4 linked regions of the Alligator mississippiensis genome follow. The protein of the gene in region 2 interacts with the protein of the main gene of each other region in a pairwise test. Links are inferred from orthologs where the notes say so. Each region holds a gene or a part of one and is shown on either strand. Other genes may lie near its edges. The genes, in order: SP2, FHL2, CCDC92 and JUP.

Evidence for each region.
Region 1: the proteins of FHL2 (region 2) and SP2 interact in binary tests that used the Homo sapiens proteins (3 or more experiments, as listed by UniProt). The two-hybrid records come from large-scale screens. The link is inferred for Alligator mississippiensis from reciprocal best matches to the Homo sapiens genes FHL2 and SP2.
Region 3: the proteins of FHL2 (region 2) and CCDC92 interact in binary tests that used the Homo sapiens proteins (3 or more experiments, as listed by UniProt). The two-hybrid records come from large-scale screens. The link is inferred for Alligator mississippiensis from reciprocal best matches to the Homo sapiens genes FHL2 and CCDC92.
Region 4: the proteins of FHL2 (region 2) and JUP interact in binary tests that used the Homo sapiens proteins (3 or more experiments, as listed by UniProt). The two-hybrid records come from large-scale screens. The link is inferred for Alligator mississippiensis from reciprocal best matches to the Homo sapiens genes FHL2 and JUP.

Annotation. Positions count from the first base shown.
Region 1 is NC_081827.1:167,528,549-167,535,907, forward strand, and holds the start of SP2 (transcription factor Sp2), read left to right. Parts: upstream 1-4,015; coding exon 4,016-4,221; intron 4,222-7,359. Other genes in the region: transcription factor Sp6, read right to left, coding at 1,139-2,248. UniProt on the Homo sapiens protein: Binds to GC box promoters elements and selectively activates mRNA synthesis from genes that contain functional recognition sites.
Region 2 is NC_081824.1:347,635,101-347,642,360, reverse strand, and holds the start of FHL2 (four and a half LIM domains protein 2), read left to right. Parts: upstream 1-3,903; 5' UTR 3,904-4,001; intron 4,002-7,260. UniProt on the Homo sapiens protein: May function as a molecular transmitter linking various signaling pathways to transcriptional regulation. Negatively regulates the transcriptional repressor E4F1 and may function in cell growth.
Region 3 is NC_081833.1:6,110,109-6,117,321, reverse strand, and holds the start of CCDC92 (coiled-coil domain-containing protein 92), read left to right. Parts: upstream 1-4,011; 5' UTR 4,012-4,106; coding exon 4,107-4,116; intron 4,117-5,140; exon of another isoform or gene 5,141-5,243; intron 5,244-5,395; exon of another isoform or gene 5,396-5,453; intron 5,454-6,554; exon of another isoform or gene 6,555-6,999; intron 7,000-7,213.
Region 4 is NC_081827.1:163,145,499-163,152,744, reverse strand, and holds the start of JUP (junction plakoglobin), read right to left. Parts: upstream 3,258-7,246; 5' UTR 3,164-3,257; intron 2,823-3,163; 5' UTR 2,741-2,822; exon of another isoform or gene 2,731-2,740; intron 1-2,730. UniProt on the Homo sapiens protein: Common junctional plaque protein. The membrane-associated plaques are architectural elements in an important strategic position to influence the arrangement and function of both the cytoskeleton and the cells within the tissue.

The sequences.
Region 1 (7,359 bases), on a different chromosome or scaffold from region 2:
CTGCCTGAAACCACATTGAGTAGAGGATGTTCCTTCACTGAGGAGGGTGAAGGGTGGATCTCGGAGGGGGAGCAGAGCCCTCCATCAAGCCATGGAAGTCCCCTCCAGTCCCCAGCTCCAGGAGCCTCCCTTGAGGGTAAGCTGTTTTTAACGAGCTGTTCCCAAGCCATTGTTGTGTGATTCTCCCCTTTCGCCCCAGACGTGTCACGGCAGGTCCTGCAAGAGGGAAGGGCATTAGCTGCTTCAGGTCCTGATTGATGTTCCTTCCAAACAACCTCCCTTGTGCCAAAAGTTGTAGCAGCACAAAATACAGGGAGGCCAAAAGGTTTCTGGAGTGTGGAAGCTTCCATGGCCCGAGAGAGGGAGAGAGAGAGAAAGAAAGAGAGAGAGAGGAGTGAAACCACCTCAGGGCAGAAGCCAGCTTCTGTGATCTGCCCAGGCAGGGTGGCATGGAACAAATGGGAAGTTGTGAAAGGATCAGCAGGGTCATTTCATCTGTATGTGTACCTGGGTAGGGAAAGAAAAGAGGTGAGGGTGGGGGGTGATAGGTGAAGGAGGGTGACAAGGGAATGGTAGGGGAGGGCTGAGATGAGAACACCTGCCTTTTCTGCAAGCTAAGCCTGACTCGCAAATCCCCAGCTTTGGATTCTGACCCCTCTCCTCTGTGCAGGGGAAGGGATGTATTAAGATCTGGAGCCTGTGGCCAAGGACATGTATGAAGGAGACATCCCTCCACCCATTGCTTTGCTGGGGCCCCTTTTTGCTGCCCATCAGCACAGTCCCCCAACTGAGATCCTTCAAGTAAGAATGATGCCCTCCCATCCAGCCTCGCCCTTACCCACCCTCCAGGATCCAGTCTGGAGACCAGCCCCAAAGCTTCACTCTATTGGATCAGAGGGTGGACCCTCCCTGAAATTCCCCCTCCACCACCCCCATTGGAGGGAGAGGCCACCCACCCCACCTACCGCATCGTGACAGGTTCCTTTTTCCCCAATAGAATAAATAGCCACTTTCTCGGAGGGGACAGCCATGTACAACCAGTCCCATGTACAACCAGCTGGAAGGTAAGGCAGCAGGTAGGGAGCACCCCTCACATGGCACCAGAGCAGGGCAGGGACGTCTTGGTGAGGGCAGGGGCTCAGTTGGGCTGGGTGAGGGTGCTGGAGCTTCCGGCATCGGGCTCTCGCTTCCCTTTCCCTGGAAGGTCTGCCCCACCCTTCCCCTCTCCTTCTGCCCCCTCCTTGGTGCCTTCATGTGTCTTCATATGTTTGCTGAGGTGGTCACTCCTCATGAAGACCCGGCTGCACACGGGGCAGGTGAACTTCTTGGTGCCTGTGTGGGTCTGGAGGTGTCTCTGGAGCTCATCAGACCGGGTGAAGCGCTTGCCGCAGAAAAGCCAGTTGCAGACAAAGGGGCGGTCCCCACTGTGCCACCTCAGGTGGGCCTTCAGGTGGGACGTCTTGGCATAAGCCTTGCCACATCCAGGAATGTGGCAGTTGTGAAGGTGCTTCTTCTTGGCACTGTCTGGGCACGGTCCTACCCTCTCAGCTTCCTGGCAGTTTGGGCAGCGGCACACAGCCTGACCAGAGCTCCGTGGCATGGATCGTCTCGAGCTCTTCGGCCTAGCAGTGCTGTCCATGGCCTGCTCAAGAACATGGGGATCCTGCGGAGATTCAAGCTGTTTGACCCCTTCCTGGCCCATCAGGTGCTGGGCAGAGGGCAAAAGGTGGTGAGGCGGACCGCAGAGCTGGTGCTCGGTGGAGCCATAGCCCCCCAGTGCTGGCTGGAGTCCCCCCGTGTGGCCTGGCGCTTGGAGGCCACCTTGACCATGTTGAAGGTCCATCCAGCTGGATCCAGCATGAAGGTCCCACCAGGGGTTCACACTGCTGTCCTCAGCAGCATTGCTGGGGTGTGAGGGCCTGAACCAGGGCTCGTAGTGGTGAGCCATTTCAGGAGGTGTCTGCAGGAGCTTGGAGTAAGAGCTGGGAGCCAGCGGGTTGTCACTGTCCAAGTCTATCCGTGAAGAGCCATGCAGGTCATAGCTAGGGGTGGCCGAGAACTCTACGTCAGGGACCACCAAGGGCAGGTGTGGGAGCTCTGGGGGCTGGAGAGAGGAAAAGTCACCTCCTGCCTCGGAGCTGGCGTGAGGCTGGTAAGTCTGCAGTGGCTGCAGGTCCAGGTGGGTGGGGGAGGCACAAGGTGTGTCCGAGTGCTGATTGCCAAGAGAGCCACAGACAGCTGTTAGCATTGCCGGACTCCAAAGCAGCAAGGCAGCCCAGACAGACCTGGAGGGAGGAGACAAATACTGTGAGAACCTCACACGTTTCCCTTCCTTCAATATTAAACCAGTGCCTTCTTTCCTTGGAACGGACCAAAGTTCCCCTTTCCCCCTGGGTCCCAGAGATGAGTTGGAGCCACAGAGTTCACATCAAGACCACTTGTTCATCAGAGGGCTGAGATACTATGGAGTCCCTCTCTGCCCAGAGCACCTTCCAAGGCACAAGGAGTCAAATGCATGCCTAACCTTGCTCTCGTGAATTCAGCAGATCTATTCCAGGGACAAATTTTGCCTGGAAGTGCTCCTGTCTTACATCAACTGCACTGAAGAGGCACAGACTGTGCTGCAGTAACAATACTTAGCTCTCTCACAGCTCTTTTCATCCATAAATCTCCAAGCACTTTACAAAAAGGAATTCCTGGTCATTATCCCGATGTTACAGGTGGGGAAAATGAAGCAGAGCACTTATGTGACTTACCCAAAGTCTCCCAAGTCCTAGCCCATTTGGTCACCCACCTTCCTTGCTATCCTGCCCCACTGGGCTAACTGCGGGGAGTCAATGTCATCAGGTCAGGAGAACATGGTGACACCCCACCAGCTGCCCTTAACTGGTTGGATGCAGCTCTCAATCCCTTAATATACATGGGGCTTACTTCCTATAGCGGGGTCTCCTGAAAGAGGAGAACCAGCTTATGCCAATAGATCAGCCCTCTCTCCCTGTTAACAGCATGAACTACTGTCTCAGGCCTTGGCTGTCCTGGGGTAGCACCTAGAAACTGTTGTCACTGGTTTCATGGGCCAGCCAAGCAGCCAGGATGGCTCGGAAGGTATTTTAGAGGCTCCTACAAAGTCAGGGGTAGGCTGTTCTGTGGAAGGGGGATTTAAATATAGTTTATTCTCCCTTCCTAAAAGGCGTTTGGAGACAGGCCCCTCTAATAGGCAGCTTCTGGGAAGTAGATTACAGTAATTACAGTCTCCTCATCTCTGTGGCTGGATGTGACTTGAGCTGCTCTGATCTGGGCCTGGGGTGGCAGGGGTGTGGGGAGACCTGGCTGGGTATTTATAGCCTTGTTCTCATGGCTCTGAAAAGGGCTCTGGAACAGATCAGCATCATTTAGCAGCACCTCAGGCCTAGCCCCATGGGAGCAGCATGTAGGCATTGGCTGGTCAAGGGTGATCAACCCTAGGAGATGGCCCACAGTAGCATTTTGTCCCTGGGATTGGCCCATGCACAATGTACCAAAGCAGGCCAAGCTTTGTTTCCAATCCCCAACTCCATTGGGCCCCTGGCTGGTCAGACAACACTGTAAATGAAAGGGAGGTGCAAGGCACTTCACACTGTCATTACGGTGACTGTGTGCAAGCACAGCCACTGCTTGGGACACAACAGCTGGTACCTCTAGCATCTCCTGGTATAAACTAGGCCAGCATCCTTTCAGTGGTAAAATCTGTGGTCATTGATTGCCATGGGAGTTGGGCACTGACACAGGAATTAGATACCCAAGTGCCTTTGAGGATATGACACCAGTGTCTTAGGCAGGGCCAGCCTTATGGGTGAGTGATATGGGCAACCCCCAAGGGTGCCATGGTCAAGGGGATGCCACACACACACACCCCCCACCTCTGCCTCCTTGCTAGACTGTGCCCCATGCCCCTGCCCGCCTGCCTCTGCCTCTCCCCCTACCTGCAGCACTGGAGGAGGTGGTGGTGGAAGTTGGCCAGCAGCGGGGTTCGGCAATGATGAGGAAACGCCACTACCCGCTGGACTGGGCAACGCAAGTGGGCTGTGAGCAGTGCCCACCACCCCTCAACCGTGACTGGCTCTACAGGTCCTATGGCTCTGCAGGCCAGCAGCACCTGCATCTCATGTTCCTGCTGCTCATTATCATGGGCATCTGCCTGGCACTGCTCACCTTCTTTGCCTCAGGACTGGTGAAAAATGAGTCTCCCCTCACCCTTCTCCCCCTGCCTTGCTTGGCCACCACCAGGGCATGCCTTGGGGAAGCAAGACTCCTGATCCAGCCCAGCAGCGCCCCTCGGACTTTTATCTCTGAAATTTCACTAATACTACTACATTCTTAAACTCAAAGAAAGGGCACCAAAATACAAGATTGCCTAGGGCTCCATTTTCCCTAAGGCTGGTCCTGGAAGCCATCATGGCATTTCACCTTTCTCTACCACTTGTAAGGAAACCACCATGCAACTTTCTGCCAGAACTGCTGTAAGCCCACAGACATGCAACATCTAGGTGCAGCCTGCAATACAATATGCAGGGCCGGGATGCTGATCCTAGGGTGCAGCCTCCTCCCTGTCCCCCCTGTTCCTTGTGACAACTAATGCCATAGTGTGTAAACACAGCACCTCCTGGTAGGAGACACCATGTGTAGTTCAACTTTTCTCTGTTGCCCGTGGCATGGTGGCACCTTATTCTTCTCTTGCCAATGCAGGTGTAGATCAGCAGCATTCCAGCGGCATGAACAAGGACCAGGTCCTTGGGCAAGGGCACAGCTCTCTCCAATAGCAAAGAGCTGGCTCTCATTACACTCCTATCCAAGCACCTCAGATCTTTAATACATTCAGACCCAGTGGGGTAGGGAAGGGCTGTTATCCCATTTTACGGGTCAGGAACTGAGGCACAGAGAGGCTAAGTATCTCACCTAAGGTCATACAGCGAATTTGTGGCAGAAAAAGGAACTGACCCCAGGTCTCCCAAGCCCCAGGCTAATACCTGGATCATCCTTCCTCCTATTGTCTCCACTCAGACCCTTCCTAGAGGAGAATGAGGCAGAGTGGTGGCTTTCACTCCCATAGGAGATGTTCTATACTGTACTTTGTCTGTGCTGCTACCCCAGAGACACAGGACTGGGCATCTGGTTGCCTTGGGAGGTCTGTAGAGGCAGGGCAGAGGTTTGGAATTGTCTGACACCAGCACTCAACACCATCACGAACCAATGAACCCTGCTCCCTTCCCACAGATCCCTGTGACCCTCCTTGTTTCCCTCTCTGCAGCAGCTCCAGCATAGGGGCCTGCTCTGCTATAGCAGCATTACTATGAAATACAATATGGCATGAACAAACCCAAAAGACACACTGTCGATTACACAGCTGGTTCTGAGCAGCTAGGCTTGGACCAACAGGGCAGCATGAGGTCTTCACAACAACTCCAGGGTAACAGATGAGGCAGATACTGGCATGGGGAACTTAGGGGGCTAATTGAATGCTCTGCACATCTGGTGCAGCCATTTGATGCATCTTTTCTCTAGGCCCTGCTGGATTTTTACTTTGTTTTGTAGGCCCTAGGATGCCAGGACCAGAGTAACCACCAGGGACAAAGCAAAAATCCCAGGCAGCCCAGAGGCCATTTCTAGCCACCCCAAAGCACCCTCATCGCCCCAGCATATACAAGGCCAGCTCCCTTCAGCAGCTCACCTTGGTTCAGTTTTACTGCCCCTAGCCCTGCTCTACTTTGCTTTGCAGAGGCTGAGATTGGGGTGCAGGGCCTCGGCTATACATGATGGGATCCCCATTCCTTTCCCAGGAGCCTGTGACTCATGCTGCCGAGCTGTGGAAACCCTGTTGGCAGGGCGCCCCACCCCAATGTTGAAATCCACCTGCCAGGACTGGCTCCCCTGCCCTCAACTTCCCATCCCTCCTCTTTGGGGTTCAGCTCCGGCACCACTTTAGTGGCCATCTCCATCCAGCCCATGTGTCTGGATACCGCCTGCATCTAGATGCCCCATACCCAGCCTGGCAGCTCTCAGTTCAGCTGCCTCCACATCCACCCCTGGGCCCTCTGCTAAGTCACATTTCTGCTGTAGAGAGGGAGGGTTTTCCCCCCTTCTGTTGCTGCACACAGACAGGGGAAACCAAAGAACAGGTCACCTCATACACAGCATTAAACACACTGGATCCCCAAGCAGCCCTCTTGAGCATCTGATATCACAACAGCAGGCAGCAGCTTTTAGACAGGGTATGGATTTTGAGCTGATGGCCATCTTTCCCATCCTGCTAATGACCACTCACAACCAAATAGTCCAGCACTGTACAAGAATGACCCAACACCAAAACCATTTCCCCAGCACCCAAAGCAACACAGGTCAGCAACCAAGGGAAAGAACAAGTTCTGTCCACTTTATTTGCTCCTCAACCCTGGCCTGCAACCTCTTCCCCAGCCCCACTGTGCCCTGCATTGTGATGGAAGTGTGGGATCAAAGATAAGCACTACTCTTGACATCATAAAATAGGAGCATGGGAGGCAGAGGAAGCCGACAGTGCTGAAACAGGGGGAAATTGGCATTAGAGGGTGTCTCAGGGAGAGGATGAATGCAAAGGAGGTGTCAGTTTGCCTTGACCTCCAGGTAGACCAACATCTAGAACAGAGACCCAGGTGTGAACAAGTCCAGAAAAGACATAGTGACATTAAAACCGTGGACCTCCACAGAGCCAATGGGAGGTCCTGGTTCCATGATTAAAGGTTGGCACCCACAAAGCCCATCAGAGAGGAAGACCAGCGGGTTTTAATGAAATATCTGAGAGGTCTGACAGCACTGAGATGGGGAGCTGGGAAAGACCAGTGGTGCTGGCAGGATATGGGCAGAAAGGGAGTTCACAGCAGGGATGAGGAATAAAGTCCTGGACTAGGAGCAAGGGGACATCATCAGCTCAAAATCCATGCCCTGTCTAAAAGCTGCTGCCTGTTGTTGTGATATCAGATGCCCAAGTGGGCTGCTTGGGAATCAGGCACCCTGGCCATAAGGGTGATAACCAGAAAAGAGAGAAGGGATAGAGGCAGCAGAAGGGAGTCAGTCTGTTTGCAGCAGTGTGTTTAATGCTGTGTATGCGGTGACCTGTTCTCTGGTTTCCCCTGTCTGTTTGTGTGCAGCAAAAGAAGGGGGGAAAACCCTCCCTCTCTACAGCAGAAATGTGACTTAGCAGAGGGCCCAGGCAGGCCCAAAGCTGGAAAACATTTTTATTTCACCTTCAGAGGAAGGTGACCCTTGCCCAGCCGAGCAAAGAGGTCCTTGCAAGTGCTGAAATCTGAACACCACATTAGAACCAGCAGCCTCCCACCCCGCAAACAC
Region 2 (7,260 bases):
TAAGGACTACAGAAAACCCCTGTGTGACCGGTGTCCATCCCCGGGCCTGTAGACCTGACCCTCTCTCCCTGGGCTACCCAGCCACCTATCTCACCAGCCATGCCTTGATGGAACAATAAGTATGATGTTACTCAGGTGGGAGGCTGCCCATTTCCTACACCAATGCTAGGGGTTGCTGCTCCAAACCTTCCCTACATGGTGGCCCACATCTTGCAGATGGTTTATAAATGTTGACCTATGCCCTAGGGAGTTGGGTCGGCTCACTCCCTGTCGTTGTGCCTCTTGGCACTGGGGTCTGCCACCTGTCACTGCACCCCCTGGTACTGGGGGTCTGATCATCCCCTGTCACTGCACCCCTCCTCCCCCCACCCCCCCAGCACAGGGGCTTTGCACAGTAGTGTGCCCCAATGAGGCCTTCTCTTTCCCAAATAGCCTCAGCCACTGGATAAAACAATAACATAAATATGAGCCCCTGAGCTATAACATAATACAAGTCATACAAGCCACACTCTGGCTCCTTAAAAACCCCAAACTGCTCCTCGTGTGTTTAGCACCCTCCAGCTCTGGGTACCTTGTAGATGCCTGGAGCCTCATTAGCCACAGCAACAGTCTGGCCAGCAGCCACAGAGTTCCTGGGTAGTTCTGCCGTGCAGGAGCTCTCTTCCCCTGGCCACTTGCCAGAGACCTCCTCCTGCCAGCCTTGGCCCTGGGGTTTATATGTGCCCAGAGGCCTATCCCCTTCCTGTGAGCTGACTGGCCTGGGTTTTTGGACTATTAACCCCTACCCTCCTGGTGCTTGGTGTTCCTGTAGACTCAGGTCTTAAAAAGGCAGCCCTGCCTCTTAGTAACCGGACTAGGGTTCCCTGTTACACCCTGCTTGGTGCTGTTAATTGGTTCCTGAGAAACCAAGCATTAAGCAAAATGAGCATTAAGTGAAACCAAAAGTTTTTAACGGCCCCAGATGATGACTGCATGTGTTTTTAGTGACCCAAGATGGCAACCATGAGCATTATAATAAACTCACTGAACACTAAGTGGAATCAGGTATCAATTTTAAAATGAACATTATAGCATTAATGCATTATAGCATTATAGCAAAATAGTGCTAAGCAAAACAGACATGGAGCATGGTATAGGGAAGGATTAGAGTCACACACTTAGCACATAAGGCTTGAGGTGCCCTGTGCAGCACAGTACTAGAGTGAGGTCCTGCAAAGGGCCCAAGGACCAGTGAGTTCTTGTGGAGTTCAGTGGACCAGGGCCAACCACAAGCCTGTGGGCAGCCTCCTGATTCATTATTTTACCATCAAGACATGGCAGGGGAGGCAAGACTTGGGCACCCTTAGGGCAGAGCTGGCACAGTTGCGGAGCTGCCAGGGGCATCACAGCCAACCCTGGGGACCCCAACCCGTGACATTTAGTTTTAAACTACTTATCTTATTTAATTGGATTTTGTTCTGAGAAATGAGAAAAGACAGTTTACACAATAGCTACAGACACATGTGACATGCTAACTCTGTAAGAAAGAATATTTTCATAAAAAAATTATGAGATATTTCTCCAAGCTCCCTAATCTAATCTATCAGATCAGGCACACTGCCATGATGTCTGGAGATTGGGGATTCATACAGACAACTCCCATCAGCCAGAGCTATGTCATCAGCTGTTTTATCAAACTTCATTCAACTGACAATTTGTTCTGCCTGTGAACCATCTAGGGATGTTCTGTGCTACTATGAATTCTCAAAATGTCAAGTCCTAATTGGTTTGGGGGCCACAACCACACCTTCTGTAATGGCTCTGCCCCAAGCACAAATTGAGACAACATTATTCATTAGTGACCTTACAGTCAAGATTTCAGAACACCTGGCCCATTTTTTGAGTTACCCTGAAATACTTGCTGCTGGCCATTTCCACTATCTATATTATTTGTCATTTGAGTCTTTACCATCATCCAATCTGGGAAGATATCCCAGGGAAAAGTCCAGAGCAAAATTTATTTTTCTGTGAAGCTAAAAACACAAAAGTGCATATGGTTCAGAAAAAGAAATTATGCATACTTAAAGTCTGTATGCATGCCAACATTGAGTAAGACCTGTGAGAGAGAAACAAAAAAGATGTCCGTTTGGGAGTGATGTTCTTTGGAGTTTGGAAAATAAAGGAGAGAATAGCTTTGAAAACATTTATTTTGGGAAATTCTACTGAGACAGTCACTGAACTCAGTTTCCAGTGGCCAATTTCACTCAATTTGTTCATTTTGCTGCGTTAACATTAGGAATAACTGCAGGTAACAAGAACATGGAAAACCAAAAAAGAAATAAATATTGCCTCCTGCCACTTTAAGATATACTTGAAATCTGGTGTGCAAGAATACGGGGTATCCATCACAGTGCCTGGAAAAACAGCCAACAATAAAACTGAGCAAACAAAGAACAGCTTGCTGGAGTCTAAGAAAAAAAGAAAGGACAGCTCTTATTTATAAAATCTCTTCTGAGCAGCATAGGAAGAGAGTCAGAGTACTATTTCTGGGAGTTTCCTGATCCCATTTCCTCCATGGGCTGGAAATGATAGAAAGGGAACTTTGTCTTCCTCCCCTTTAGCCTCATACTTTATCCCTTCCCTGACTACCTTAGTGTGTGTGCTTGATTTCCCATCACAAACCTTTCCTAAATTACATTTCATTATAATACCCCCTGTTCCCTCAAAAGAATTTTAAGGGGCATTGCTCCTCTGTAAAACTATGTAGATTGAAAATCAGTTTCATTGGAGAGTGAGATGGCTAGCACCACATCCAAGAAGTCAGCAAGTGGGTATTTCTTTAAGCACCCACACTTTGCATACTCGTTTTGATATTTCTAAACTTAGCAAAAAAGGAGAGCCCTGGGATAATGAGATGCATGTGAGATCTGAAGAGGGTTCATGTCTCTTTAGGAAAGTTAGGGTGAGGTTCCAAATTTCAGGTTTACTGTGGGAAGCCAACTCCCAATCTGGAGCAACTGCAGTATCCCAACAGTAATGTAGCTAAACTGCAATGAACAACCCTATAATGACAAATAGGATATGCTATAACTGATGATGGCCAAGAGTAGTCCAGACAGATCTTCCACTGATGTCAGCCAGTCTCTGGATGACTTCAGGGCTGTGCTTATGTACAATTAGGATCAATATGGCATGCAGTCAGAGGCTTCCATTTGTAACGTCTCTGACTTCATGCTAAAGTTCCTTAAATGTATGTTCCTTCCTATGTGCTGATGTAACAGTGTCATCAAAGCGGAAGAATGGTCTAGAAGTTAAGCCTGTAGCCTGGAATTTGGGAGATCCAGGTTCAGTTCAAATGCCACAAACTTGTGTGACCTTGGACAAAGCCACTTAGCACCAGATCTTATTCCTCCTATTAGGAGCCTAAGTGCATTTGGTGCCCCATTACATCCTGCTAAGTCCCTGGAAACCCATCAATACATATACTTCTGTAGTGCTGCATCATCTTAAACCTCAGTCTAACATCACATCCACAGAAACTTCTTAGGTGTTTTTAGTAAAATTGAAGTTCTCACTCGATACATGAAAATGAACTTAAAATGAAGATCTGTTATTGTTCAGTTAGTTATAATAGAACAGGAGCAGTAGTGAAGGTAATGCCTTGATGATGCCATAGTACTGCACAGGGTGGGCAAGTATATATAAAGCTCAGGCATCCTCAGATTAAACAGAACAAAGGTCTGTGGTTGCTAAGAGCAGTGCAGCTCATTTCCATTACAGATCTTGTGCTACTTTAGGTATGATTCCTTAAAAGGCTAGCAGAACAGAGGTGCTATGGTTCTTATCTCCTTTGGATGGCTGGTCCTTTGGAGATATTGTATTTATAGCTCATCTGTAAACCAATGCCTGTCTAATTGCTAAATACATAGTTTGAGTAATCTAATAAAGCAATAAGCTTCTGCACTTGTCCTGTCCTCTCATTCTCAGACCAGAGAGCAGAGGCACCACCAAGCTGCAGCAAGGTAAGCACAAATCATTGTTTTTACTCCCCTTTCTGCCTCATTTTGAGAGGCAGACTTCCAAAATGCTCTACATACAGATCTACAGAAGATGGCATTCTTAGTGATTTGTTCATCTCTTCCTATAGATGTAGCATTTCACTTTATAGTTCCAGCCTAATGCTGGAAGCCAAACACTAAGTAACAGCTGTTCCTTATGCCTCTGCACTAATAATATACTGTCATGTTTTCACATTCTCAGAGAATACAACCATGTATAACTATAATCACTTCCCTGGACTCTGGGTATGAACAGGAAAGCGAGTGACTTCAGACAGAAAGCTTTTGATTAGTTTTTTTTTTTCCTCTATTAGCTTTTTCTCCTTTACTGATGAATATTTGGAAACAGAATGTGCATACAGAAACAAAAGAAAGATGAAACATATTGCTATTCAGCTATTTCTCCTTGACACCATTTCCTGATGGCCTTGGGAGAAAGAAAGTACAGATGACATTTACTGATGTCATGTTTAAACAACTATTTATTATGGATTATGGCAGCTGTGCAAAAGAAGAAAAAGTACTGATATGTTATGCAGTGTGAAAGCAGGAATTCTTCATAACCAGTATGTGAAATAGCATTAGCCAGAACTTGCAGGCAACTACTATCAGTTAAATGAATTATTTTTAACCTGATCTCAGAGTGAAGATTTTCAAATGAAGCCTAATAAAAGAAAACCTCTTTGGGAAAATAAGATAGTTTGGATGGAATTTGTGCTCACTTGATATGGTGTCTATGTTAGAAGGATTCTAAGCAAATACCTCAAAACTCCCCCAAAGTGGGAAAGAATCATGAAATTTCTTGCATAGATGAGGATTAAAGCCAATACTTTCACACTGTGTCTAAGGTTATTTATTATACTAATATTATGGGACTGAAATGAACATTTTCTACTTTTCCAAACATAGGTCGGAATGCTGTTTTCCACCCTTTTTGGGGAACGTGGAAGAGAGAGCCATATCTCTTCTCCATATGCTGCATCACAAATCAGATGTAATGTAGCCACCTTCATGCAGCACTATGACATCAGTTTTGGCACGTAACATGCGCAGAGCACAGTGGTATGGGTAACTGCGATGCTCCCTGTTGTGGTCCTAAGGCAGTACAGACAGGCCCTGAGAGTCTGAAAGCCTAGTGAAGTCTGCTGGAATGCTTCAGCTGGCTCCAACAGATTTGGATTGAGTTCAGTTTCTAAATGTGGATTCAGGTACCTAACTTTAGACACCTGGAGACAAATCCTCAGCAGGTGCAAACTGTCACCCACTGAGGATATTGCCCCTAAGCGTGAAAGTTTTAGAGCCAGCTGTCATGGCATAGTGCCAGCAGCACCTCTGTCTCTTCTTGCTGAGCGCACACACATGCAGGTGTTGGGTCTTGTGCCTTTATCTCCCATAGGGTGGAACTATGCAGTTCTTCTACTTTTACACCAGGTTTTAATTCAACGCCCACCATGCTTACTCAGGAGGTCTAAAAGGGTGCAAGTTGAGCAGTTATTTGTGAATCGGTGACCAGATGACCTTTTTAAGCCAAATCTTGTTTAATCCTAACAGGAGGAATATTGCATAATACAAGAGTAAAAGGAGTTTGAAAACAAGCAGCAGTGCACAAACATGTCTGTTTTATGTAAAGAATTACCATCCCTGGTGGATTCCTAGGAAAGGTTAATGTCTTCAGCTCTCCCAGAGGCTGTCAGTATGCATCAGTCTGTTTTTCAATAGTTATTGTTCCCCTTCTAGCTAGAGACTCTCTGTTTCAAATCCTTATATTCCTTCAGTCCTTTTGGCTCCCAGAATTTGCAAAATATATTTTTAATTTGGCTGGTGTCTAGAAGTAGCATCTTTATACCTAAAAGCACTGCTTCATATCTTTATGGACCTGAAGTCATTACTAGGTGTCTTACTTGGAGCCATTGTCCATTTCCTTCTTGTTTCTTCCAGTAGCCTACTATTAAATTAAACCAACCTATTCCTCAGCTTTGTATATGGACACTATGTTGAGATTTTTTTATTCTCCTTTAAAAACTGAGAAGGCATCTGTGGGAAGGAATTAGGTGTTTCATTTTACAGATGCTTTCTGTAAATGTTAGGCCAAAAATTAGTTTACATTTTATTTTACCTTGGAAAAAATGCCAGTGTAATGCAGGAATATATTTTTTAAAGCAGTACTCTTTGCTGCATTGAATTTAAAAGTCAAATTTGAAAAAGACCAAAACCACTCAATTTTAAAACTAACAACAGTTCTTTATTAACAACCAGCATTTGAAAAATACGATTAAATAGATAAATAACTTTATTTTTCCCTTCAAAATATCAAAACATCAGAACAAGAAAAACCTTTGATAGAAATTGCCAATAAGCTTAGAGAAGTAGATCCATTAAAATGGCTGTTTTACACAGAAAGTCTAAAAGGCTGTTTCTAAGGAAGAAAACTCAGAGAGGGAAAGGAATATGAACACATACTTTGAGTGAAATCTTGTCCCTGTTTTTTGAATTTTGCCCCAAACTTCCATTGATTTCAAGGAGGCCAAGATATTCCCTTTCCCTTTTATTTTAAATGACACTGAGTTTGTGTAGTTTTATAACAGTACAGGATTTTTCCACATCAATTTTCTTTTTGGAGGGCTAACTAAAAAATGTCTACTCACAGGCAGCTTGTATCTTAACTACCTGCAAGAGAGTTTTTTCAACTTGGATTACTTTTTACTGGCTGCAATATTTTATCTCTAGCTTTATACCATGGCAAGTTCAGTTTCATGCTGATAAATCCAGGGCAATTTCAACAATGTCAGTTCGTCATATAATGCTGATTAGGTCCAGGAGGCCTGACTGCATATTTGACATACTTCCCAGTTTTTTAAAAAGTGGGGTGACCATCTTTGCATGTTTTCTATCAACTGCATAAATATGGAAAGAACAAAAATCTATATTTCAAAACATACTGACCATTTAAAAAATAAATCACACTTCTGTTCAAATTGGTTTAGTTATTATTGTTACAAATATCACCTAACTTTACTAAATGCAGGAGTGATTAAAAAGAAGCATGTTTTTTCTCTGTTTTGCCTTCTGCTTTTGATAGGACTTTGTGCATAATTAGTCCATTTAACTGCTTTTCCTTTATGCTTGTTTTTTTCTGATGTCTACGTGGGTCTCTTGCTTGGCCACGGGGATAGATGCAAAACCTTAAATTACTTTAAACTAGGGTGGGCAAGCCAGACAATTG
Region 3 (7,213 bases), on a different chromosome or scaffold from region 2:
TGCAAATCTACCTGTGAGAGGAGTTTCTAGATCCTGACAGCCCAATCATAGGGTGCAGAGCAGAGGGGAGCACGCAGCAGCTCAGGGAGAGGCCAGGCAACACAGCAACCGATAGGGTAGGCAGCAGAAAGCAGGGCAGCATAGCTTGTGTTGCACTTAGAGTCAGAAAGCTCATGCTGCCCTTGGGAGCAGAAAGCAGAGCAGCAGATCAGGCAGGGAACAGGATTGGAGTGGCAGTCAGGGAAGGTGTAGAGTTCATCTGTAGCATATCTGCCCCCTCAGCACTTCAAATGCCATCCTCAACTGGACGAGAACAGACTCCGCACTGTAGCTGGGCCAAGCTGGGCTCCAGACTTCGGTTTCTCGCCTGTAGATAGAAGGTCAGATCTGGATTCTGCACCCTGCAGCCTCCGGGACATGCTTCCTGGTGCAGCTTTGGGGTGAGATACTGCCAGCCTCCCAAGTTTGGGAGTTCAGTTTGAGGCCGTCGCTGGCAGAAGTCCAGCTTGGTATGCAAAGAGCAACGGGCTGGAAATAGCAGTACTTTGCACTCACTTCCTACAGCGCAGCCTCTTTGAGGATTTCAAACAGCCAAGGAGATCCTATGGATGATACTTCACAACACCCTAAGAGATGACAGAGAAGTTCCCATTTTAGACATGGGAAAACTAGGCACCGGGAGGTTAAGATAATCCTTAGAGATCGTTCAGCAACAGCCCCTTTGGATGTGCAGCTCCCCTGTCATTTTGATAGGGAGGCAAAAGAAAACCCCTACAACTTGAAATGTCAGCATTCAAAAACTGAAAAAAAAGAGTGTTAACTTTCCTCCTAACTTTTCAGCTGCCTGCAGAGCTGGTTGAAACTATTCAAACTGAAACATCTGAAACATCAGGGGGCAGGAACTGAAAAAAAAAATCATAAAAATGTCACATTTTATTTTTAAATGTTTCTAACCCAAATGTGTCTGTGTTGAAAGCTCCCTTCCAGTTTCCAAGGGGATTTGTCTTACCTCAGTTACAATGATGCATTTTTTTTAAGTGACATGTCAGGTTCAAAGGCTTAACTGATGTGATGATGCCTGCTTTCATTCAAACCCCATTGTAGGGTTTTTTCCACCTCCTCCTTTTGTGCTCCATTATTAAGGAGTCACGCTGAATTTAACAACATGCCTGCATTTGCTTCCAGGAGACTTCAGAAGTCAGATACATTTGTCTTTCGGCAAGAGTCCTGTGCGACTCGGTTTCTAGGACACACAAATGGGCCCTAAATGAAGAGTCCAGCCTGCTCTGTCATGGTATTTGCAGCAAGCTGGTTTAAAAGGTCCAAGGGAAAATGGAAAAAGAAGTGGGATCCAACTGACAGGGCAGAAGACTGGTACAGGACGCTGCAGTCAACTCTTACCTCTGCCACTGGCTCACCGCAGGACCTCAGGCAAGTCACTTCAACTCCCTGAGTCTGAGCTTCCCTTTGATTTAGCAGTCCCCAAACTGTGGTGCACAGACCACTGCTGGCCCCCAAAGCCACGGTGAGTTGTCCCCAGCTCGACCGGAGATTGCATTGCTACCCCTTCTTTCCATTACCAGGTTGAGGACAAGGGTGCACGGTGGTCCACAAAACCTGTGGGCACCTCTTGACCTGTGCTAAATCGGAGGCGACAGTAACGCTTCGGAAGGATGAATCAGCTGCTATTTCTGAAGTGCTTTGAAGATGAAAATTGCTAGAGGAGCGATTGCTATGATGATTAGTGCCCCAATGGCAAAGCTGTTGTGGTTCGCTGAGGCACACAAGGGCCAAACTAAGGTATTTAGGTGCCTAACATGCTGATAGGTCCCAATGGGATTTTCAAAAGCCTCTACAGGAACTCCCAGGGGAACCCGTCACAAGTAACAGAGAATTATACCTGTCCTTCACAGCTCGCAGCTCCTCCAGATTTGCAGTGATTGCTGACCAAGGGCATTTAAAAATATGCCAAGTAGGACCAATACACAGGCCAGGTCAAGGGACTGGTGAATTTGGTCCCGAGAGAAAAAATCTGAGAAGGGGTGGAGTAAAGCATTGGGGTTTGCCAGCCCTGGGAGGATGTCACTTTGGGCAGTGAAGAGGCACACGCAGGGAAAGACTGCAGGCGCATCCAGCTTCTTCTATAGGTGCCTCCTACCATAGCATCTGAGCATCCATACAGTGAGACGGTTTCTCTCTTTCCAGCCTGATTAGGATTAGCGTTGTGTGCGGCTGTATGTGCACTATGGGAAAACTCAATAGAAGAAACGAGTTTAGCTCTTTGATACAGCAAGGTCTGTGGTCGTCCTTTTCTATCATGGGAGTGAGTCCCAAGGTCTAGACAGGGATTCGGTGACACGTCTGTCTCCTGCGTGCACAGGACTCTCCCTGCTGGCAGATCGCTGAACGGTCCCAGGGAAATGCAACAGAGAATAATTCTGGAGCGATGTTGCAGGCTGCGATGGTCCACAGAATAGGCAAGAAGCAAGGTTTGTTTGGGAGTATCGTTCACTGGATCGTGATTCCAGCGGGAGGGCTGGTTCCTCAGGTCGCCAGGGTGAATCTGGTCAAGAGCTTGCACTGTCCAGATAGCAAGTGAGCGTGGGTTCACAAAAGCTCATGCTCTCTATATATCTTATTTAGTTAGTTTGTAAAGTTGCATATCTACCCTGCCTTCTCACTGACTGCAGACTACCACAGCTAACTACCTTTCTCCGCAACTCTGCACTCTTTGCTCCATAGGTTTACTGTATCTTCCTCTTCTTTAAGTGGCTATTTTCAGTTACATCATGGAATTAAAAGTCACTGTGTTCCCTGACGTTAAGCTTGGGCTATGTCTTAAGAAGCCAGGTACAGCCCAAGACCTGAGACAGGGCATTTCAGGAAGCCCCAAAAGCTCGTCTAACATCTCTGCCAGCTATATCATTAATCCAATAAATGCTATTACCAAACAAGGTGCTTCAGTGCAGAAGTTCAGTGCTGTGCTGCTGTGTTGGGAACAGCCAGGGTCACTTATATGGGTGGATGCATTTTGCATTAGGTAGAATTGTATCAGGGCATGTCAGCATTGTTCCAGGACAGGAAAAGAGTTGCAGGAACCGATACAGAGGTGCGAGACATGGGGATCACCACGACCAAATGTGTCTGACATACAATAACCAGCTCCCTTTTAGGCAAAGCAGAGTCAGTAACACAGCAAGGTCTGCTAGCATTTACCTGTCACAGATATTGTATAAAGCTAGTTTTTAAGTACTTGCTACCAATGGCTTACAAAAGCCAAAGTACTGTACATTTATACTCTTACTTTCATCAACCAAACGTCTCATCGAAGAATGAAACCGGGTTTCTTCGATGAGATGAGTTTCCCGTAAAACCGTGTTGACTGGCGTTATGTTCCCACGTGCTCTCAGCCGACTCCTGCCTCAAGTTCACTATAACTTTGTCAGGGATTGATGTCAGGCTGAGACACCCCTTTGCCCTTATTGAATGCCTGTTCGACATTAGCGCCATGCCAGTCTTCTGGGATACGCTGTACTGTAGGATTCGTTAAAAACTACCGTTGGTGTGACAGAGATCTCCTCCCAAACTCTTTGAAGATTCATGGTTACAATGCCTCTTGCCCTGCTGATTTCAAAATATGTATCCCAACTCGATGTCGCCTACCACCCGTCTCAGTTACTATTGTGCTGGAAAATATTTCATCACTTGTGTGTGGAATGGTACATCAGCCTGCTTCTTCCCAAACACAGCAGAGCATTGGGTCAATACCTCTATCTTTTCTGAAAAATGAACAACAATATGCTCATCTCCACGAGTAGTGGACCAAGACCGCTACTTTAATTCCAAATATTCCTTAGAAATCCCCTTTCTTTACTTGCCTCTACTATCAGGGAAAAACATCTGTCCTATATTTAGCTTCCTTTATCAATGTTATATGCGCTCCGTAGCTTATCATTCGTATCAAGATATATTGCTAGTTCTATGTATTTCCTTCTTTCTCCGCTTGTTTCTAGGTGAGTTTTTTTTATTTCTAAGCGCAGTCTTCAAATCATCGTTGACTTTGGATGGGCTTGTAACGAGAGACATCCTCTTTGAGGATCGCGGAAATGCATCCAGGTAAGAACTCCTCATTTTCATTCATGTTTTTCCGTCCAAATGTTTCCTTCCAGGCAATCGGGCTCAAACGTTTCCTCTCCTTTTTATAAGCACAGAGGGTGTGGGCTTCCACCCAACGCGAGCAGGTCAAGTTCATGGGTTAATAGGCAGCCACTTCCTTCCCATGAATTCCTCTTCAGTCATGCTAATGGGGACCACCACTGAGTTGCCTTATGCTGGGTTTAATATCTTGTGTGTTACAAAATGATCGCTGGTAACAAAGCGCTAGTGATGTTACGTGACAAATCCGACCTGCGGCTCCGAACCCTGCGTCCCAGAACCACGGGGGTTTAGGTTAGATATTAGGGAAAACTTTCTCACGAGGAGGGTCATAAAACACTGGAACAGGCTGCCCACAGAGGTGGTGCGGTCTCCATCCTTGGAGGTTTTCAAGACCGGGACAGACAAAGCCTTGGCTGGGATGATGGAGCTGGAGCTGGTCCTGTGTTGAGCAGGGGGCCGGGCTAGATGTGACCCCCGAGGCCCCTTCCACCCTCATCTTCTGTGATCTATAACCAGGCTCTCGTTAGTTGGGCGGCGCTGCTGGCTGTAGGTCCCTGCCACGTGTTACATACATGACATGCTGTTACATGCATGACGCGCAGCATGTTACATGACGCGCTGCCCATCACATACATCAGTCACGGCGCATTACACGTGGTGCACTGCACGTTACATACAGGGCACCGCATGTTACATGATGCGCTGCACCGTACATACTGACACTGCACATTACGTGACACACTGCACATTACATGCGTGGCACCGCACGTTACACGACGCGCTGCAAGCGAGAGCGGCGCCCAGGGAGCGGAGGGGCCGCCAGCACAGCGCCGCGCGCCGGGCTGCTGTCGCGGGACAGCCCCGTCTCCCACGTGGGCCCAGCCCGCCCTGTGGCAGAGCACGTGACCGGGGAAGGGCAGGGTGGGGCGCCGCGCAGGCCCCGCCCCCAACGGCCGCAGGGCGGGGCCGGGCGCGCGGCGCAGCTGGTGACCTCGTCGCCACGGCAACGCCGCTGCGGTGGCTGCCGCCGCACCTGCGCTCTGCGCCTGCGCCGCCGCTGCCGCCGCCCGCCCGGCCCGGGCACGGTGAGTGGTGGGGGTGGCTCCGCACTGCGGGGGCCAAGGGCGGGGGCTTCCCGGCACCACCCGGCCCCGGCCCCGGCCCCGGCCCCGGCCCCACTCCGCAGGAGGGGAGGGGAGGGGAGGTGGACAGCTGCCGCCGCCGCCGGGCCTGAAATTGCTCCTCGCTGCTGGGGCGGCCGCGGGAGACCTGGGCTCGGCCCCCAGCCCGTAAAGGTTGGGCCCTCAAATACTGGGGGGTTCGCCCCCCACACACTCCTATTTTTGCATCAAAATAGTGCCATTTTCGCCCCCAAAACTGTGGTTTTAACCCCAAAATACCGCAGTTTAAGCTCCCAAAATACTGTGGCTTCAACCCACAAAACCTGGGGGGTTAGCCTCTGAAATACTCCAATTTTAGCACCAAAACACAGTGCTTTTAGCCCCCAAACTGTGGTTTTAGCCCCAAAATACTGCAGCTTCAACCCACGAAAACGGGGGGGAGGGGCTAGCCCCTAAAATCCTGGGGGTTTAGGCCCCAAAATCTTGCCGCTTCAATCCACAATAGCTGAGGGGTTAGCCCCCCCCCCCAAACTGGGGGTCAGCCCCCCCAAATACTCCCGTTTTAGCCCCCCCGATCATGCGGGTTTCTGTGGCGCCATCGGGCCCAGCCCGTGGTCCCTGCGCTGCGCGGGGCGGGTCGCGGGACCGCGGGGGTCTGGGGGCTTCGGCCGCTGCGAGCCGGTCGACCTGCCTCGCATGCTGCCGTTTGCCGCTGGCTCGCTTGCTTTCTCCGGACTTGGGAAAGCTGGCGGCAAACGGCCCCTGGGAAATTTTGAAGGCAGCTGTCAGACGGTACGTCGGGGTTGTTTGCCCCACGTCGACATTGCTGTTGTACGCGCCCGACACGCGCGTGTGCGTGTGCATGGACAGGCGTGTGTATACATGTGGATAATACAGAACGTTGAAGGACGTTTCATTTTGCATCACGAACGTGAGACGATTTAGTAGCTCCGTGTTTGTTCGCGGGGGTGGGTAAAGTTCGGACACGTTCGTCTTCCTGAATCTGTTTGAAAAAGTGACGCTGTCGATTCGCTTGTCAATGACACATGGTGGCGTTTTCGGTATATGATATCTCGCTGTAAGATCAGTGACCCGGCAGCTTAATGTTGACGCTTTAAGGGACCGTTCTGGCATCGCCAGGTCGGAGACTCTCTGATTTCCCATCGGTGAAGTTAAGCCGGATTTAGGAGTTGAAGGGGGCGGTTGGAGGTCTGAGAAGAAGGAAGGAGCTGGGTCTGGGAGGGAAGTTTTAGAGGAGCTGAAGTAATTGAGGTCTGGCTGTCATATTTAAGCTTGCTATGTCTGTTTTACTGCAACGTACAAAAAGGTGCTTGTTCCACATCATTATTCTTACTGCATCGCATAAGCACATAGGTGTCTTGCAAACATTAGACACCTTTTGTAGACTCTGCCCTGCTTTAGGTGCTGGGAACGTATTATGATAAGCGAATACGACGAGCACAAGCAATATCGTTAGACTACGAAGTGCAGCAGCTCTGGCAATGTCGTTGAAAACGGTGGTGCTGAATGATGCAGCCTCAGAGCATGGGTGGAGTTAAAGTGGGGAGGCTGCCCTTTGTTTGGAGAAGAAATCTTATCATTCAGGCTGCAGAATCAGGACTCCATTGATTTCCTTTGCATCTGGAGGATGCCATCTGAGCTGTCGTCTGATCGTGTCTTGTGTCTTCATCTGGCATAATATTCTAAAGAGCAAAATCAGGTGAATGATTTATTTGCTTCTCTTGAATTTTTTTTGTTCTGCTATTTTGCTCTTGCATCCAATGTCAGGCTCTCGGAGCGGCTTTGCCTCCATTTGCAGGAACCTGCACTCCTCTCTAATGAACCCACAGCTGACTACAGATGCCGAGGCATTGGTTACTGCATGGTATTAAAACTGTTCCCCTCCCCGGCAAGAGGAGGGAGCAATGCATCAG
Region 4 (7,246 bases), on a different chromosome or scaffold from region 2:
GCCTGTCCAGAGGTGGAGCGGGGGGGGGGGGGGGGAGGCATCTTTATATACAGACACTCAGCAGGAACACCAACAATAACAGATTTCCTAGAGAGCTGGATGGTATTGTGAAAGGACATTCGACTCTCCTTAATTTCTACCCAAGAAAATGGTCAGCATTAGGAGGTCTCTTCTTTTATAACATGCCTGTACTTTCTGCAGATGAGGTCCAGTGCCTGCCAGGCTTCACTAACGACATCCACTTGTAAGTGACTGACAATGGCAACCTTGATTGAGAATCCCAAGTATTTTACAGCTTTACCCGCCCCCCAGCTCAAGATGTCCACTGCCCACCACTTCCGAAAGCCCAGATGCTACGGCTGTTGAGGGCATTAGAATGGATCCCAGCCCAAAAAGGAAAGTCCAAAGAGTGCTACATATCAAGCCACTTCACATCAGAACAACTGCCTTAGGCCTTTGAAACCTGTTCCTGGGATCTCCATTTGGATATTTCGTACAGTGCCATGCACATCGCCTACAGTCTTTTGCATAGCTGTTATTCTTCAGCGTAACTTAAAATATACCCTCCCTACTGAGAGCAGCCTACACTAGGGCACTGACACAAAAAAAAAATTTACTAGAAGCACTGGCAGAGAGCATCTTTTCAAGCTCCTCATACAAGAGCTTTTTTTTTCCTAGGCAACTCCCAGCAACACTCCAGAACTATCCTTTCATCTGTGCTATAAAGCTGATTAATTAAGCTAATCATTTAGCTAATGCAATTAGAGCACCCTCTCCTCTCCCAGTGTCAAGGCTAAGACAGCAAGGGAGTATTCTCCCCCCCCCCCCCCCAAAAGCCCTGCAGCGTAGCAGACAGCACACTTCTAATTTTACCGCACGAATTCCTTCTCCAGACTCCATTCCTCAGCTTTTTAACCTGAACTCGGAAAATAGAGGTTGCAGCATATTTCATATCTTCCTTACACACTTGACTGACTTCCACACCAGCAGCACTAACTCCCTCTTGTTTTAAGGCAGTTTGTGGTACTCTGACAGACACCCAAAAGCCAATGTGTTCTCATTTTCTCTCTCTCACATGCTTCTCCAACATCCTGTGGAGTGCAGCAAATAGGACAAAGCTCAAAGAGGAGCAAAAAAACTTGGCTCCGAGGAGTCTGACAGACGCTGGGCAATGCCCTCCCCTTCTCCCTGGAAGGAGCACAGAGAACAAGGAGGCACAAGCTGCCAAAACCCCAGAAGCAACACTGAGCTGCTGACTATGTGGCAAACAATCCTGACACATCCTTGCACAACTCAAGTGTCTATGCCCAACAAGCTGCAAGACCAGACACCTCAGTACTCTGCAAGTTTCCAGCAGTTCCTTCCCAAGACCTCCAAGCGCTTCTGAAACCTCAAAAGTTAAGCCTGACAAAACTACGCGGTAGCACTTCAGGATTCTCACTGCACAGCTCAGGGTAGTGTTGACAGATAGGCCCAAAGCGACTCTGGCAAGGTCAAACTGGGAGCTCCACAATGAATCCATGCACAGAGCCTGCATCTCCAGTTCCCAGGCCTTTGCTTTCACCATCCTTCATCCTGTCAAGCCAGCAGGATTGGTGCCATAATAGCAGTCAATGATATAACCCAAGGTTAGGGCTGCTGAAAGGAAGGGGAAGAGAAACCTATCAGTGGATTCTAATGGAGGGAAACCGAAACAGCAAATGCTCCCGAATACACACATAATCACTGTACTTACTGGTGTGTATTGCAAAAAGCCACGCAATCACATACCACTTTTTCCAAGCAAACCCAGAAAGCACCATGCTGCGATTGTTTTATAATGACCCAATACCATACAGCAGCATCAGAAACCAGACATTCTCCGATACCTAGATTATAAGCAGCTGCACTACAATCTCTTCCTGAAAGCCGCTCATGTGTTGATCTTCTGCCCTGTCAATTATACAGAGGAATGGTTTTAAGTGCTTGGTGCTCATGCCTTGGAAAGAAATTGCCATCTTATGTCAGCATATGGAGAGCTATGTCTGAACACTATTAGACTCTTCCTCCCAAAACAGTCAGTGAAACAGCAGTTGTACTGTCACGGAAAGGCCAGCCAAGTAAGCAAACTTGCTCCTCAAAGAATCTGCAGCCGGAAAAGAGCAACAAAACAGGAAAGCCCCATTATGCGCTTTACAAAAAGGAACATTTGAAGGACCAGCTGAAGTGAATTTGGAGAGGATCTCGCTCAGTGATTTCTGTCATTTGCACCGATCAAGGCTAAATCAAGCTACCTCACTTGTTCCCACGATTTCCCAAATTAGCAAACAGCAAATGAAAAGCTGAGAAGTCAAGCTGCCAGAGCCAAGAAAAACCCAGTTTACACCACTCATCCTTAATAAGCAGCGGAGTCCTTCCGCTGGTTGTACTGCATGCACTGGGTCACGGGGCCCACGTGCTACTCAAGACAGATAAGAGCCTTCCAACTCTCAAGATCCCATCAGGATCCAATTTCTCCTTGCAACACAACTTCTAGCAGGAAGCTCAGCTGTAGCCTCGCACATGCCACGTTCAAAGGGGCCGGGGGGGGGGGAGAGCAGAAACCAAGGCCATTTGCAAATGCTACTGTATCAAGGGGTCGGATGCCAGAGTTGTATTAATGTTATGCCTACAAGTTTGCTTGCAGCCCTTAACTGCCGCGCCGTTGGTCAAAGACACACTAACAGCACCACACACAGCACACACACGTACGTCGATATACCAGCTCAGCGTATGCTCCTTCCCCAGGCGGCGGCACGAGTCCACGGGATCGACCCTCCTGGACGGCTGGCAGCTGACGGTCCCTGCAAGCAGGTGCGCACCTGTTACCCGGCCGCCGGCCACGCGGCGACGGAAAGGGGCCAGGCCGGGAGCGCAAGGCGCCTGCCCCGGCCCCTCCCGGGGGCACAGCTCGGGGCCGGCCCCTCGTCCCCGGCGGGATGCCCCCGGGGAGCCGAGCTCAGAGCCCCGCAGCCAGGGCTGGGCAGAGCCGCGCTCCCCGCGCCAGGGCAGAGGGTGCAAGGGGGGCGCCGCCGGGCGGGCACCGGCACCGGGACCCAGGGGCGGGCGGGGTAGGGGTGAGGCTGAGCCCGGGGACCCGGCTCCAGGGAGGGACACGGCGCTGCTCGGCCGCGGCCGCACTCACCTGCGCGCCCCGCGCTGCGCTCTGCCCGGCCACTGCCCGCGGCCGCCGCCTCCGCGAACAAAAGGCAGCCGAACCCTGAGCCCGCAGCCCGGCCCCGCCCTCCCCGCCCGTCCCCATGGACACTCGCCCCGCCCACTCACCGCCGCCCGCTCATTGGCGCGGCTCGCGCTCCGTCATGCCCGCAGGGGTGGGGTTCCGTTACCACCCGGTCTGTGTTGACCGGCGGCCCATTGGCCGAGGCGCGTTCCGCTGGGGTGGGGGGGGGGGGGCAGGCGGGGCCGTGATTGGCTGGGAGGGTTCGGAACGGGAGTCGAGGGGATGAGTGAGCCAGGTGGGCTGGGGAGGGCGTGGCGCGGGGGAAACCCACGTGGGTGACGTCATGCAGGTGAGGGCGGGGCTGAAGGCTGAGCGGGGCTGGGGTGGATCAGGGCCGGGGGGAGGGCCATACAGCTGCCCTCCAGCCCCCTCCCCGGCCCTGTGTCCCAGGAGCCTCCTTCCGCGGCCCCGATCCCTGCCACGGCCACAGCGCGGTTCCCACCGCGCCGCATTCTGTTCCCCCACCTACTAATGACCACGGTGGGCCCCTGCCCATGGGCAAGGGGAGACCGGCTGTAGGAACAGGTGGGCGTTAGGGCTCGGAGAGGGATCTGACACCATGGGCAGCTCCCTGCTCCCCCGGGCACCCTCAGCAATGTCTGCCCCTGGTTGGGTTGATGGGCCAAGCCACGTCCAATGGCCACACGTTCAAACACCTCCTCTGGCTCCATGCTCATTGCAGGAGCACCTTGCAAAGCACCTTCCTCCTTCTGCAAGCCCTGGGTGCAAGCACAGCAGGTCCTTCTCTGCTCCCCTCCCTTCATCTAGACGTGGCCACCTTTCTCCCGGCTCCCACTCTGATGGCAGCCTGCTCCTCATGTCTGCACCAGCCCAATTCCTCCCCATTTGTCTTTTAGCCTCCTATGAAAGCATTGGTTTCTCCCTTGCACGCCCCCTCAACACAGCGCAAACCCAGACAGGACTGGCTCTGCAAACAATGTGACAGAAGAGAAATTGAAAGAGCGAGTCACTTCTACACGCTAGCATCACGAGTCCGGAGGAAAGGCGAAAAAAAAACATATTTTCTCCAATGATCAGGAATGATAAAGGACTTCCTATTAAAAAGCAATGAGGAAAAGCTGTGCGTGACCCGAGGGGAGAGGAACGAGATGGTAGGAGTTGTGTCTCGCTATGTAGCAACCTGCCACCCTTTCATGGGCAATAGTGACAAATGGACAGGAAAAGAAAAAAACCCAGTGGTAGTGCGAAGCCGTCGCCAGGGACACATGCAAGCAGGGACCAATACCTCAGGGTTCCATCTCAGTCGCTCTTTGATAATCCTTTGTCTGGCTCGAAACAGCAATAAAGTATCTTGAATGTGAAATATCTTGGGAACCAAATTATTTCCTTCTCAGAACTGTTTGCTGAGATACGGCGCTGTATGAAAGACTCGGTATTTCAACAGTGGTAAAATGCATCACGTTAAGAGGTGGTAGGAAGGGGAAACAGTAGGACAATGTTTATAGGCAGATCTAGGAATTTGAAAAGGAGGTGCAGGAAATGCCGCTGGTGCCACAACAGACTTTGAAGGCCCCCCCACCCCACCACAGACAATGCCAGGTAGCAGCTGCTGAGGACTTTTTTAAGTTCACAAAGCAGGTAAGACCCCCTCCCCCCCAACTCTCAGCACCCGCTTCCTTCCCCTCCCATTCACCTCTCCAGCAGGGGTTGCCTCTGGGTGCAAAAAATGGGGACCCACCCACTGCCGCCATTGTTCCCTGCTATCGCAGGAGCAGGGGATACTCCAGAGCTGCTCCTGCCCCACTCCACTGGGCGGCTTTGGTAAGTGGCAGCATCAGGCTTGGCCAGGGATAATGACAACATATGGGTCCCTGCTTCCAGTGCTTGCTCCCAGATTGTGGGGGACACCTGGGGAACTAACAAGGAGCAGGAGCACCTGGAAGTCCACTGTCAGTGCTGTCCTCAACTAACCTGGAGGCAGGTGAAGGCCCAGGATTGCTCCTTCTCTCCCATGGTCTGGAAGCAGGTGCTGGACAGGGCAGAACATCTACTGATACCACCGTCCTGCAATGTGCCTGGCCCTCTGTGCATGTGCTCCCCACAGCTGGAGCCCCTGGCCAGCGGGGGAAATGCAATGGATGGGGAGGGAGCAGGAACTCCTCTCTGTCACTGCCACTGACCCAGCAGCCCATTCAGCCAGTCCCTGCAGCCCTTGGCTGGATGGAGCAGGATAGGAGCAGTCCTGTGGCTTCCACCACTCCCTGGTCAGCTACAGACAACGGCTGCAGTGGGCAGGCCCCCCATCACTCAGCTGCTCCCTGATTTATCCCCCTGGGTGTCTCACTCCAGCCCAGGGCTCCAGCCATGTCTTGGACACGGCAGGAGACCCAAGCACAGGGAGATGTCACACTGGTGCATGACATTTACTGTGGAATGGGCATGCAACCATGCCACTGCACCCCCCATAGATCTATCCCTGACAATGGTACAGTGCAGAAAAATGGCAGCACGCCGATTGGGTTTCACAGGTTTGGGGTTCAAACTGGGAGTCAGGAGCCTGCCTTCTATTCCTTGATCTGTCATTGATTCCTCAAGGGACTCAGGCAGGTCACTTCAGCCACAAAATTTCCCCAATGTCAGTCTCTGATTTCAGGCACATCAATTTCTGGGTGCTCAGATCATTGCCCTGATTTTCACAGGAGTTGCATAATCACCTTGGAAAAAGCAGGCCAAGGAGTCTTAAGTTGAACACCCACAATCCCTGGACACTTTTGAAAATATTGTCCCTAAATACCCACATTCGCTTCTTCTTCTTCTTCCCTGCTCAAATGAGGATAATGAGACTCACCTCCCTTCCGGCAAAGGGGGAGGATTTATTCATTACTGCTGGAATGTGCTTTGCGATCCTCCCACAGAAGGTGTTACTAGGAACACAAAGCGTTCTATTTTCCATTTTTAATTATCAGAGGCCTTCTGGCTGCCTCATATTTGCAAAGAGCTTTGAAAGCTTCAGATGAAAGCTGCCAGAGCAGAGCCAAATATGACTGTGGCATTACTCATGGCTTGCACAGTTTGGAAACAAACATGTGCACAGCAGATATCATCAGGTGCTTTTACAGACAAGACGACCAGCCCAGGCAAGGCATGGCCCTGCACAGCAACTTAGGTGAGGCACCTGTGTCTTTCTCCACACAGAGAGTTTCAAGACAATGCATTTGGGTCCCAGTGTAACCAAGCACTTGTTCCTGGAAGCTAGGAGTGTTCTGGCAGGAAGCATGTGGCCTGACTACAAGGTGTAAGGACTGCTACCCTTGGATAGCTTCACAAACCACAGAACCAGTAGGCAAAGTGGCTGCCACCATTGTCCTGTCTCTTTCCATTTCCATTCAGGTTTGCATTTTCCTGTGATTTGTACATTACACATTCTTCCCAGCCACCCCCATTCTGGGAAAGCAGGGATGGAGGGGTCTACCTGTCTAGCAGGATTATCCCCCACCCCCAGAAAGAACATGCTTGAAACCAGCTGCCAATTTCAGCCTCAATGGGCTTTGCTCCGGTTTCACAGTGGTGGCACAGAGATGGAGCCCTGCAGTCACCTGCCTCCTGCACCTCCCTTACTGCCATCCGTGCCCATTCCTTATCTCTTCTTACACCTTGGCTGGTTGCAGCGAAATGATCTTCCTGGCACAATCTTCCCTCCCCCCATCCTTACAATATCTCTGCTCACCTGTCAGTTATCACCTTGGTGGGACTCTGGGCTCTGTATTCATATTTTCCTCTGCCTGTAGAAGGAAATTTTATTAACCCCTTCTCACTCTGCTTTCAATCAAATCCACATCCTGAGTACAAGCAAGCAGCCTTGCACGTGAAACCTGTTGCAATCATTGCTGCCCCTAAGACATTGCTGAGAATTTATTAAGAGGGGAAAAAAACAACTTTTGTTCTCAGTGACCTGCATATAAAGCAAAACAAAAAATAAAAGACCTCTAAAACAAGAACTTGAGTCATTTGTTGTTCCTTTCTGAC